Linked DNA regions of Coturnix japonica. The protein of the gene in region 1 interacts with the protein of each later gene in a pairwise test. Links are inferred from orthologs where the notes say so. Each region holds a gene or a part of one and is shown on either strand. Other genes may lie near its edges.

Region 1 (5,814 bases):
TGGAGACCATTCTCTCTTCTCCTGGAGGGAATCTATGAGACCATGGAACCTGCGCTGACAAGCAGCCTATGACAACAATCTGACACTTGCAGCACATGAGCTAAATGTAGAGCCCGATTAAGTTGGTTGTGGTTACTAACAAAACAGCTATTTCTCCCAGAGAACACAGGCAGACTATTTCCTCTTGGAAAGAAGTGGACAGAGTGTTCGAAAGCTGAAAAGGTCACAGCAAAACAGAGGCACCGATGCATAGTGCTGCACAAAGGATGAGATCCTGCTTGGTGCTCAAAGCACTCTCAACTGATGTAAGAGAAGTTCAGGGCTGGTGAATTTAACACTACTGAAAACACAACCAGTTCTGGAAGGATCAACATTTTACATAGCTGCAGCACGTAACTCTTTGTAACTGACATAAAAAGCTCAGGACTAAGTGGTGCATAGACATGGTCTTCCCTTCCCAGCCCAGTCTGAGTACTGCGGCTTGTACTTGCTGCCACTCAGACCTTGATATCTCTTCACCCAGAAGGCCATTCAAGAGCAGAGCAGAGTTCTTACCCTGAACAAAAGGGAAAGCAATTGCTCTTATTCTTCCTGTTCTTTGCTGCTAAGCCGGTCAGTCACAGTACACCAGATGCTTCACTAATACAGAAGGAGATATGCTGTCCACAACAGGGAGAAAAGCATTTAAAAACATTCATTTCTCTTGTTTAAATAACACTTCGTGGTTTACACAGGTAGGATGAGGAATGAAAATGTAAGGAATCCACAGCAAAAGAGCTCGAATGTGGCAGCAAGTCCCTTGTTAAGCCTGAAAAACAGCAGGAATGGTGAATTTGGGGTCTGGAAAACACAAACACCAATCCATGAGGAGACAGAGACCAGCACCTCACTCCAAACACACTCACGGCACAGACACCAAGTGCTTTCAAACACTACTGACTCGATCACGTTTTGAACTACTGACCTGCATCCTATTACCCAACTCCGAGCCGCTTCGTTCCCTCACCGAAGTCCAGAGTTTAGCAATTTCAGCTCAGACTGAGATGGCTCAGACAATAACAAACTCATAGAAATGGAATTGGTGTGGTAGATCCACTAACATGGCAAACCTTACAGACTTGGGCACAATGACTGCTGTGTGGCTGTTCACTTTAGACCCACCAGAAGAAGATACTTGCTAATAAGGGGATCAGAGAAGAGAGTAAAATTGCAGCTTAAGTCCCACCGAGTCTCCGTATCTCAAACACAAGGAGTGGAGAGTTTGTTCATTCTTTAGCCTATAAAGTCCGATTCAGGACAGATTGCTCATTCTGCCTCATACACAAAAAAACGGGACCATAAAGAACTATTACAGGCTCTATGCAAAGTGTCTGTTTATCAGTAATCACCACAATTAATCTGGCTGCATCCACAAGGCTCCTGATGTACAATGACAGCTCAATCTGCAATATATTTGGAACAGTGACAGTAACATTCCTAGCATACACATATTGCATCAAGTTCCACAACAGTGTAACTAAATGACAGACCTTTTGTTTCAGGACAGGCTTAAAAGGAATAACAGAATTTCAGTACTTAATATTCATCTAAGCGATGTTTAATACCTCATAATGAGGCCATCTCTCTGTCATGCATCAGTACTACTGACAAGGAAACACAACAAAAACAAACTGCCAACCAACTGAATACAACAGCACATAGAGATGCTGCCAGCAAAACAGCAAGTCCACTTTCAAGTTTGATCTAAAAACATATACTTCACTTTTAGAAGTGAGGAGGACTTCTTACTCCTGGAACTGGAATCTGTCTGCAGAAATCAATTTGTCTCACTATATTCAGTCCTCTTATTCATTTCCTCAGTGCCACTCGCAGCACATCAATATAAACACAACATCTGTCCACTTCTCTCAGCCAGCAGCCTCAGAAACTTTCTAATTTTCTTCAAGGAATATTGACTACAGGAACACCCAGAAATGCAGGATTTATTTCTAGGGAGCTACATGAAGCAGTCATTGATATCCGTGCATACTGCAAGCTCTCAAGGACTGCAGTCTCAGTTGTACTGTTGAATAAACAGCAATTGGCTCAGTTTAGTCTTTGGGAATTGTCCTAACACAGCCATTACAGAGTTTGCAAGTCACAGTCATGAAGTCAGCAAGATGCACAAAGGAAGCTGCTGTCAGCAGCAAGGTTTTCCAACAGAGCAGAGCCAAGTTTTCAGTTGCACAAGCGTACACAACCCTGTATCCACACGTACAGGACACAAGCCACCTACTGAACCAGACAGCTTGCTTCTTGTAGCAGCAACCTGTGCCCTTTGCGGGGGATGCTTCAGAGCACCTCCATTTACAACGTGCACATTCTGCACATACACCTTTCTTACACTCCAGTTTGTGTCTCTTCTCCATCACTCATCTCTCCTTCTGATGTCACTGGTCTAAAACGATCAGAAGTCTCTGAGATGAGAATCCCACTGGAGGGAACCCGAAATCTTACCTTAGATAATAAAAAACAGAAGGATGTGTTTTTAACATGGACTGTTTGTGTTAACACTGAAACAAGAATAAACACCTGTGTATCTTCTTTCACAAAGGGCAGACAGCTCCACAGGAGGTGGCTCAACGTGGTTATACAGAGCTGACCTAAGAAAAGAAGTCACTAAGCCGCTGCAATACAAAGCACAGCAGGATCAACACCTTCCTTCAGCCAAGGCAACAAGCTGAGCCTTTCCTACACTTTCCTTCTGAATTAAAGAGTTAATTAAAGTTAAAAACAAATGCTAGAAACTTTCAAATCTGCGCTCAAAGACTTAGAAAGCCCCCATTGACCCCTTAGAACTATCATCCCAAATGGAACAACTTCTATAAACCGTAACAAAAGCCATTAAGTTATTAAGCACATCAACCCTGCTTACCTGAGCAGAAACCCGAAGATAAAGCTACACTACGCTGGTTCACCCCTCCAAAAGGAACCAACAAGACTCGTTAAGCATAGAACGCAATTAGGTCTGATGGGGCAGCTTTAATCAGCCCGCCTGCAGCCAGGGCTGCTGGATGACACTTGAGAGCTGAAGAGCACGGTAAAAATAACCTCCCTACAACGAGGGCTGATGAGCACCAGACAGCTGAGTCACCTTTACAGCCAATTTCTGATTTTCTGCATTAGAAGGAATTACTGAACAGAGGTGGGAAAAGAGACGGCAATCTCTGAGGCGCCTTTGGTTGGATATTCCGTACAGTGACCCCAGACCGACGCCATTTGGACATCAACGCCAAGTGCTCGATCACCGCCGGGAAACCTCAGCTTCACGTGGAGCTGAACACAAACCCCGGCTCCGTTTATAAAGCAATTCCCGAGCACCTGCTCCTCAAACACATCCCGGCCTCCGCGAGGAGGTCAGGGGGAGCAGGGCCCGGCGCGACCCCCGCGAGGGGCGGCTGAGGGGAGGAGGGGGCGGCAGCAGGTGGAGGAGCAGAGGAGCGGAGGGGCGCGGGCCCCGCTGCACTCACGGGAGAGTCGTAGGAGAAGGCGCACTCCGTCTTGTAGACCCGGTCCCCGGACTTGGGCACGCGGATGGTGGGCATGTAGGGGACCAGCAGCTCGCCCAGGTCCCCGGCCGCCATCTGAGCGTCGCCGCCGCCGAACAGCGCGGCCCGCTGCATGACTCCGGACGGCGGGAGGGACGGAGAGGGCAATGCGGGCGGCGGGGCCGGGGCAGGGCGAGGCGGCGGCGGCGGGAGCCGGGCCCGGGGGAGGAGAGGGGGAGGGAAGAGGCTATTTATAATCCAATGGCAGCGGCACCAGCTGCGGCGGCACCGGGGGGTCCCGGCGGGGGCGGAAGGAGGGGCAGAGAGGCACAGCGCTGTCCGCCCGCCCTCAGCCGCCGGGAGGTGCCCGCAGGGGATCGCGCCGCTCGGTGTCACAACGATGGGGCTCCGCTCTGCTGCCCGGAACGCCTCGTGCTCTTCATCGGTCTCTGCCGTGATTGACAAAGCGTTTATAAACAAGCAGCGCTGCGCTAAGAACAGGAGCTAATGTGGGAGATCGATGCGGGCGAAAAGGAGTAGAGGAAGCGCTGACACAAAGTCGATCCCAGTGTCTGTTTGGCGGCGCTCCGAAGCAGGTAACGAGGCGGGCTCCGCTGAACGCAGACTGCATAACGCTGCTTCACGTTATTTGCTACGAGTTTTAGCAGTTGGAAACCACGAGATCCGGGGATTGCTGCAGAATTTGGGCTTCTCCGCTTTAAAAAGTGGAAGCGGACAATCCTGGGTCTGACCCTGCAGGACACGCTGCCCTCACCCTCCTGTGGGATTCCCAGCCTCAGGGCTGGCCGTTAGAACCGAAGGGAACACATCCCTCTAGCGGCAGAAGGCTGACAGCTAACAGTAACATCCCCACTACCTCAATGCTTCCCAAAGGCGGCAGAGAGAAATAGGGGGAAAACAACCCCACAAACAGAGCGATGTAATAGATTCCAGAGGGACCTCGTGTGTAATCTACACTGAGAACGGCCTGGTTTGAAACAATGCACAGAAGCCACTCATCTCTGTGTTTCTATCTTTAAGAAACATCAGGCATTTCATCTGATTAATACCTTTAGCAGCGATACAAGTTGAACTTCCACACAACTCCTTCCAAGATATCAGAATGGACAAACACTTACTTGTGGTTTTTTAGTCTTTTATTTCCATCATTAAACAGCAGGATGTGTGCTCCACAGATAAGCCACAATTTGTTGGTATGCATCAGAAGCTGCACACTACCTTAAACCTGCTCAGTTGTCAGGTGTTGCTTTCATAGAATTATCAACAAGATTTTTATCAGGTGTTTCGTATTGATACCACGGTCCATCTCCCCTCTGTCTCATCAGTCTGCGTGCCTCCTGCTCCATCAGCCTGAAAGGAAGAGATCAGAATTCACACTGATCGTGCCATCTATTGGTTTTGATCAGACTTGTATCAACGTTTAACATCTGGGCAATACTGAGAGCAGCAACGAGTTTAGCATCTACTGTTCATAAATTTTAATGAAACACAGGTAATAAGAAAATACAAAGAGAATGTTATTTTACAAGACTGCCCTTGGATTATTCCAGTGCTGGTACTCAATACCAAGAAGGCAGGGATTATAGACACTAACTTCCACTGTGGCATCAGCCAATGCAGCAGGCAGGCAAGGTCAAGTGATGTATAAGCAAGCAGGTACTCCATGCCAGCATCCAACTAAGAAAATATAAACTATACTGTGTAGCAGCATTTCAAAACACCTTCACTAACGTACCTCATTTCAGCCTTCTGTGCTTCAACGTGGATGAAAGCCATCTCTTTCTCATAGTTCTTTTCAGGTGGGTCAAGGAGGTAACGAGCAATCCAGCGACTTATAGGGTGCTGGAAAATAGAAAAGCAGAAATGATTAATGTAATTTCCAAATAGAAATGCCATTATATGGCGCATTCCCAATCCCGAAGACGTGATCAACCTTACGGGTGCTGTCATTCAAGCAGTAATAGGAAAGTCAAAAACATGCTCAACTATTTGTAAGATCAGAACATTAAAACAGGAGACACTCAGTTTATTTTCTTTCTTTGAAATAAATTCCTTTAAGCTGCCTCTGTCATCACAGGACAGGACTCCAAGCCTCTAAATGTAGCCAGTAACATTTTCAAGTATTGCTTGCACGCAAAGACATTTCACTGGGAATAAAAGTCTGAATGAGTTGAAACAGCCATAGTATTACTGCTGAGTTCAGCTGCCTTCTACCAAAACCAAAGTGCTTATAGCAAGAACTCTGAGCTCTCTGACAGTTGGAGCT
Region 2 (5,704 bases), on another chromosome or scaffold:
CAAAGCCAGGAGACACTCCCAGGCAAGCTATGCTGCAAAAAGATACGGCAGAAAAAATATCCTTGCAACCTTCTTGGTGATGGCTGGCAGACATAGAGTCTTTATGGAGCTGAGGCAAATCCTTTCCTCCTGTTTTGTTCCACTGAGAGACTGCTTGGCTTGGTGCAGAGATCCATGAGGGCTGGTGGGTGCAGAGGCCAGCAGATGTCCTCCACAGATGCATCAGAGGTCACCCTCAACCAGTTCACAGAAGACATCAGTGAGTTACCACAGATTAGTATAATTTTCCCAGAATTATATCCCAGGCACACAGTGCACCTTCAGAAGTGCCTCTGTTCACTGACCCAAGTGTCAATGGGTTTTCCTGTGTTGCTGCTGTACACCACTGTATGCAGCTGGCTCTGCACAGCAGCATATCTAGCCCTCAGCTTTCCTTTGCAGAGTTTTGCTGTTTCTGCCTGTGCTGCAGGCTGAACTGCCTCACCATGCAGAGAAAGCTTTCCTCACCCAACACAAAGCTCCTTTATTCACACGGGGTTTGATGTGCAAGGGGCAGCTGACTCAGGGACAGGAGAATCAGCAGGAGGCCTTCAGATTCCTTCAGACACCAGAGTCACCTCTGACCTGACCATGGAGTGGAGGGAGCAGAACTATCCTCTTGCTGCTGCCAAGAATGACTCCCTGCCACCCCTGCCAGAAGCCCCAGCTGTCTGCTGTTCAGCTGCCGGAGCAGCTTTCCCCTTGCAGCTCCTGAGCTCTTGCCTGCACTGTGGAGCTGGATCAAAGTGTGACTTCAGACAAAACTGTCGCAAATTTCTCATCAAAGGAGGCCTTTGGAAAAAGTTTGTTGTTTTTATGGGGCTGCTGACAAATTTATAGGGGTAGCTGAAATTCTGGCTCGGTAGGCTGCAAATGGGTGCAGGATTTAACCCAAGCGCTTAAAGCATGCAAGGCATCGAAGATAAAAACTAGTCGGTAATACACTGAATTTAATGTGATCTGTTGTCACTGCATGCAGAGAATATTATTCATTTTTTTTCACGTGGAAATCAATGAAAACCTTCACTTTAATATCTCCCTGAACTGCACGGTGTGCGGACTGGTGTGGCATACAGATAGAGGGAAATGAGGTCTGCCCAGGACACACGGGAGATTCACTCAACCGCTGTATTATTACACATATCACAGCCAAGCACTACAGAGTTATAAGCTAACAGAAACACAAGAACTTTCTGCAAGATCCTTAGAGGAAAAGGCATTGAAGTTATTGATTAAGATAGCAGACAATATACTGATTGCATGTACAGTACAGTGGCAAAGTGATTTTATACAGTACATGCGGGGACTCTGGCTTAAATTGAGAATGAGAGATTTTATTACTTGTACAGTTGTGCAATAAATTATTGGCAAGTGGAAGCACAGATGGCTTTCCCTTAAGATCAGGCATCACATGCCACACATTATCTGGGAAATTGTCATTTTAAAAATAACTCTAGAACAAGTGCCAAGCTGAGAGGGATATCGGTGGCTAATAAACAGACACAAACAGCAGTGCCCAAAACCAAAATGCGTTTGAATTAAACTAGGCAGAGAGAGAGTGTGTACAATTAGTACCTATTCTCTAGCAGTAAAAATTAAAGCTTTTCATACTGTAATTCTTCTGTCTCTTTCTTATTAGAAAATTCAGATAGTGGCTTTGGGGCATATTTAAGCTACTGGATTGAACACTCACATTAAATTCTTGGTTCCTAAAAAATTCATACTGGAAGAAAGTTAAGTGCAGTTATTGGTAGGCAGTGCTTTCAGCTGGTTTGTAAGGCAGTGACATGCTTACATCCTGAAGGATGTGAGCCAGAGAGCAGCCATCTCTCCTGTTGTCTCTTCTAGGAACTTTATGTGCTCCATGCCTTGGGAAGGCCAGCTGCTGGAGCCTGCTGAGACACAGGGGCAGCACAGCAGATTACACACTGCAGCCTCAGCTCTGTGCTCAGCACCGTGACTATATAGCACAGCAGTAGTGGCTGTCAGTCTGGGCAGCAAGTTTGCTTTGGCCCTGTGAAGATAAGGGCTGCTCAGATGGTGCGTGCTTATCACTTGGCTGCTCCCAGGGGTGAAGGCTGCCATGTGCGAGTGAAGAGAGCCAGGGCTCTGCCACTGCCCCCCCCCGGCCCCTGGAACTGTCACCTGTCCCAGCCTATCCTCCTCTCACAGCTTATATGGGCACGGCAGAATGGCATCTTGTGACGCCGCGCTGCTAAAAACAGCCCCGGCTCCCTCCGGCCCCTCGTTCAAACAATGTCCTCCAGTGAGCGAAGCCCACAGAGCCTCTGATCGCACTGAAGCTTGGGATTTATTGCAAGGAAAATTCACCCAGAAACGGAGCAGTGACGCCGTGATCCTGAGCGTATGCCCCTGGAAAAGCTAGGGATGAGCACCTCTCTGGGCTACAAGACCTTCTCCAAAGAGCAGCAGACCATGGATAACCTGGAGAAGCAGCTACTGTGCCCCATCTGCCTGGAGATGTTCAGCAAGCCGGTGGTCATCCTGCCCTGCCAGCATAACCTGTGCAGGAAATGTGCCAGTGATATTTTCCAGGTAGGTCCACTCCTGTGGAAAGCTCTGAAGATTTGAGCAGCGCTGGGTTGAATGAATGGAAAAGCTGAGTATCACCCGGCTCAGCTGATTGCTTTTCATAGATGTTAAGGCTGTTTGGGGGGGCTGCCCTTGTGCTCTTGAAGGAGCTGCATTATGTCTAGCACAGATCATTGCAGCACCATGAGCCTCATCCAGGTGGCTTCAGCGGTCTCTCCAACAGACCTTTAGATATTTACTTTGAATGGCTTGACTCAGAGTTCCTTGGGTTGGTAGGGCAGAAAAGGGAAGAGGGAGAGATATGCCCTGATTTCATCAGATTTTGGTCTGTCGTGCTCCAAAAATGATGCCTTGTTATCAAAATACGTTCTGGTAAAGCTGCACGTGGACTTACTCACCTCTTCTTGTGCTGCTTGGCAAGAACAGGCCTCGAACCCCTACCTGCCCACCAGGGGAGGCACGACAGTGGCTTCGGGAGGTCGGTTTCGCTGCCCTTCCTGCAGGCATGAAGTGGTCCTTGACCGGCACGGAGTGTATGGGCTGCAGAGGAACCTGCTGGTGGAGAACATCATTGATATATACAAGCAGGAGTCCACGAGGTAACATGGGAGATCTGCCACAAAAGCAGACATCACTGGGATGGCTGGGGTGTCCTTCTGGTCATTATGTTTGTCAAACAGTAGGTTTATTTGTTAATTTCTCTCTTAGAAATACAGAAAGGGGTTGTGTTGCTGTGCATGCCTGCCTGCTTGCTGTGCAGTGAAGTCAGCTCTGAAAGCAGTATCCAGATGGATGCTGGATTTCCCTGCTTCCACTTATAGAACACAACTCTGTCATTTTCATTCCCTTGAGCAGTACTTACCCCGTATAGTCGGCAAGAGTATTCTCATGAATGAGGGAAAAGTAGCTAGATTCATGTTGTTTATTTTATGAACCACTCAAACAAACGTATTTCTCTTTAACCTGTGTATTCTCATGCTAAAGAAGGGAATGGGATTTCAAATCTTGTTAGAAAATCCTAAGGGATAAAAAAGGAGATAGCTGAATTGCACCCAGAAGATACCCAGGATCATAACATTACATTAAAATACAATAAGAAATCTCAACTTCCGTCAGCTTGGGAGAGGAACACATGAAACTGAGTCTTATTTAGAATTCCACAGAAGTGAAGGAACAGCTAGAAATAATATGTATCAGAGCTATATGGTGATGTGTTAGAATCCCAGGGCAGAGGAACAGGTTAATCCTAAAAATTAAGATTTCTCCTAATGTTAAGTTCCTCAAATGCATATGTCCATATCCAGCAGTGGAACAATATCTCATCTGTCTGCCTATACTGGGTTGGGCACAGGCTACCACTCTAGGGAACATAATAGGAAGGAGGCAAAGGCTGGTCAGAGGCCACTAAGCAAGCAGCTCTCACCCAGGGATGCAGCCTGTTGTCACCACTATGCGCATGTAGGTCCAGGTTTGTAAGGCAGGGTATTTGTACACCTGAAGGAAGGTGGAATCCTGGCCTCCTTCCACAAGCAGCTGGGCTTTGCAGGGATAGCAGAGGTGATATCACTGGAGCTGGTGGACTCAACCACTGGACCCAGCTCCTTGGGTGGCTTAGGGCACTTCCATCTTCCTCCAACACAGAGGTTGTTTTGGGGCACAGCAGTGGCTCTGGCTATTCCTGTCTAAGTTCTCACAGAACAGTTGTAGCTGCACATGGATTTGAGCTCCAAAACACTAGAGAGCACAAAGTTGGCTTAAAATTGTCCTTTCTGCTGCCCTTAGCACTCCATGGCCAGGGAAGGTCATCTGTCCTTGTGTGTGTCATTGATATCCAAGTATTATTTGAGTCATGTCTGAGGAATCTCTGAGGAAATGAATCAACAGAGTGGTGGATTTTGCACTCAACCAAATAAGCTGGACACTTGTGGCCTCATGTGCTATATTTCTTTTTCCAGCTCAAGGGTTGTATTAGCGCCCCACCAGACTCTGAGAGGAATGTTGTCCTATTTCCCAACCCGAACCTCCCCTGGCATAACTGAAGGCCATTACCTCTTGTCCTATTGCTGTTACCTGGGAAAAGAAGCTAAGCCCCACGTTGCCACAACCTCCCTTCAAGTACTGTTCTCTTCAGAACAGTGAGGTCAAAAATACAACATCATGAATAAAAGGGGAAAATCGGAAACAAATATGAACATGAATGATGTATTTGCATAGATACCTGCCTGGAACCCTTGTTTGCTTAACCTTTTCAGGGGTTTATTTAACCTTGATGAATGTCCTTAGAATTAAAATAATTATCAGGGTTATGTAGCAGCGACAATGCATAACAGCATTATCTAAACTATTTGGCACTTTGTAGGCTTCAGCTGCTTATCTCCCTCTGCCTCAAATTCCTCGGCCTCTCATCAGATGGGGGGGCTCTACCCAAGCTCTCACAGGCAGCCCCTCTCATTACCAACGATTACATCCTTTTTTGTCTTTTATCATGCTGCACATCAGACTCCACACAATGACAGCATAACCTGTTGCCCGATTTAGTATCTATTAGCAAGACCAGGGGAAAAATATTCAAGCAGGATGTGACTTTAAAGCTTTAAAGGGCAGTAACATGCTGAACCCAACAGAAATAAAGTTAACTAAAATATTACCCCAATGTTTGAACGTCTGTAGGCCACTGTTAACCTGAACTTTCTGAGGAGCATCAGGGGGCCTGCTGCTACCAGGAAAGGGTAGCTGCTGGAGATTGCAGCTCCTCAGTCTCTTCCAGCCTCTAATGAGCTCCACCAGCTATTCCTGAACAAAGGGTGCTTTGGTTTCTGTGTCCTCTGGATCCAGCTCCAGGGTTTGTAGAGTGCTCCTCCCCTGCACCTACAAGGGACAGTACTAGGTAAAGGCTGGCCCTGCTGTGGAGCAGGAGGTGTAGTACAACAGGGACCAAGAGCCATGAAGAGAGCAGTGTGTGCGGGCTCTGTAGCAGTGGGGATGCACAGCAGGGCAGCATGCCCAACACCACCAGGAGCTGACATGTCAGAGGATGTGGCTCTCCACTATGGGCTGTGGGAACATGTGGGCTCTCAGATAGTCTGGACCTGGGAGATGAACAGGCAGTGTG

The links.
Region 2: the proteins of USP13 (region 1) and TRIM55 interact in a two-hybrid assay, tested with the Homo sapiens proteins (2 studies listed by BioGRID and IntAct). The link is inferred for Coturnix japonica from reciprocal best matches to the Homo sapiens genes USP13 and TRIM55.

The regions. Positions count from the first base shown.
Region 1 is NC_029524.1:15,337,331-15,343,144, forward strand, and holds the start of USP13 (ubiquitin carboxyl-terminal hydrolase 13), read right to left. Parts: upstream 3,734-5,814; 5' UTR 3,663-3,733; coding exon 3,510-3,662; intron 3,402-3,509; exon of another isoform or gene 2,915-3,401; intron 1-2,914. Other genes in the region: NDUFB5 (NADH dehydrogenase [ubiquinone] 1 beta subcomplex subunit 5, mitochondrial), read right to left, coding at 4,778-4,898, 5,284-5,390. UniProt on the Homo sapiens protein: Deubiquitinase that mediates deubiquitination of target proteins such as BECN1, MITF, SKP2 and USP10 and is involved in various processes such as autophagy, endoplasmic reticulum-associated degradation (ERAD), cell cycle progression or DNA damage response.
Region 2 is NC_029517.1:104,130,011-104,135,714, forward strand, and holds the start of TRIM55 (tripartite motif-containing protein 55), read left to right. Parts: upstream 1-2,251; 5' UTR 2,252-2,406; coding exon 2,407-2,595; intron 2,596-3,018; coding exon 3,019-3,191; intron 3,192-5,704. UniProt on the Homo sapiens protein: E3 ubiquitin ligase that plays an important role in regulating cardiac development and contractility, muscle growth, metabolism, and fiber-type differentiation.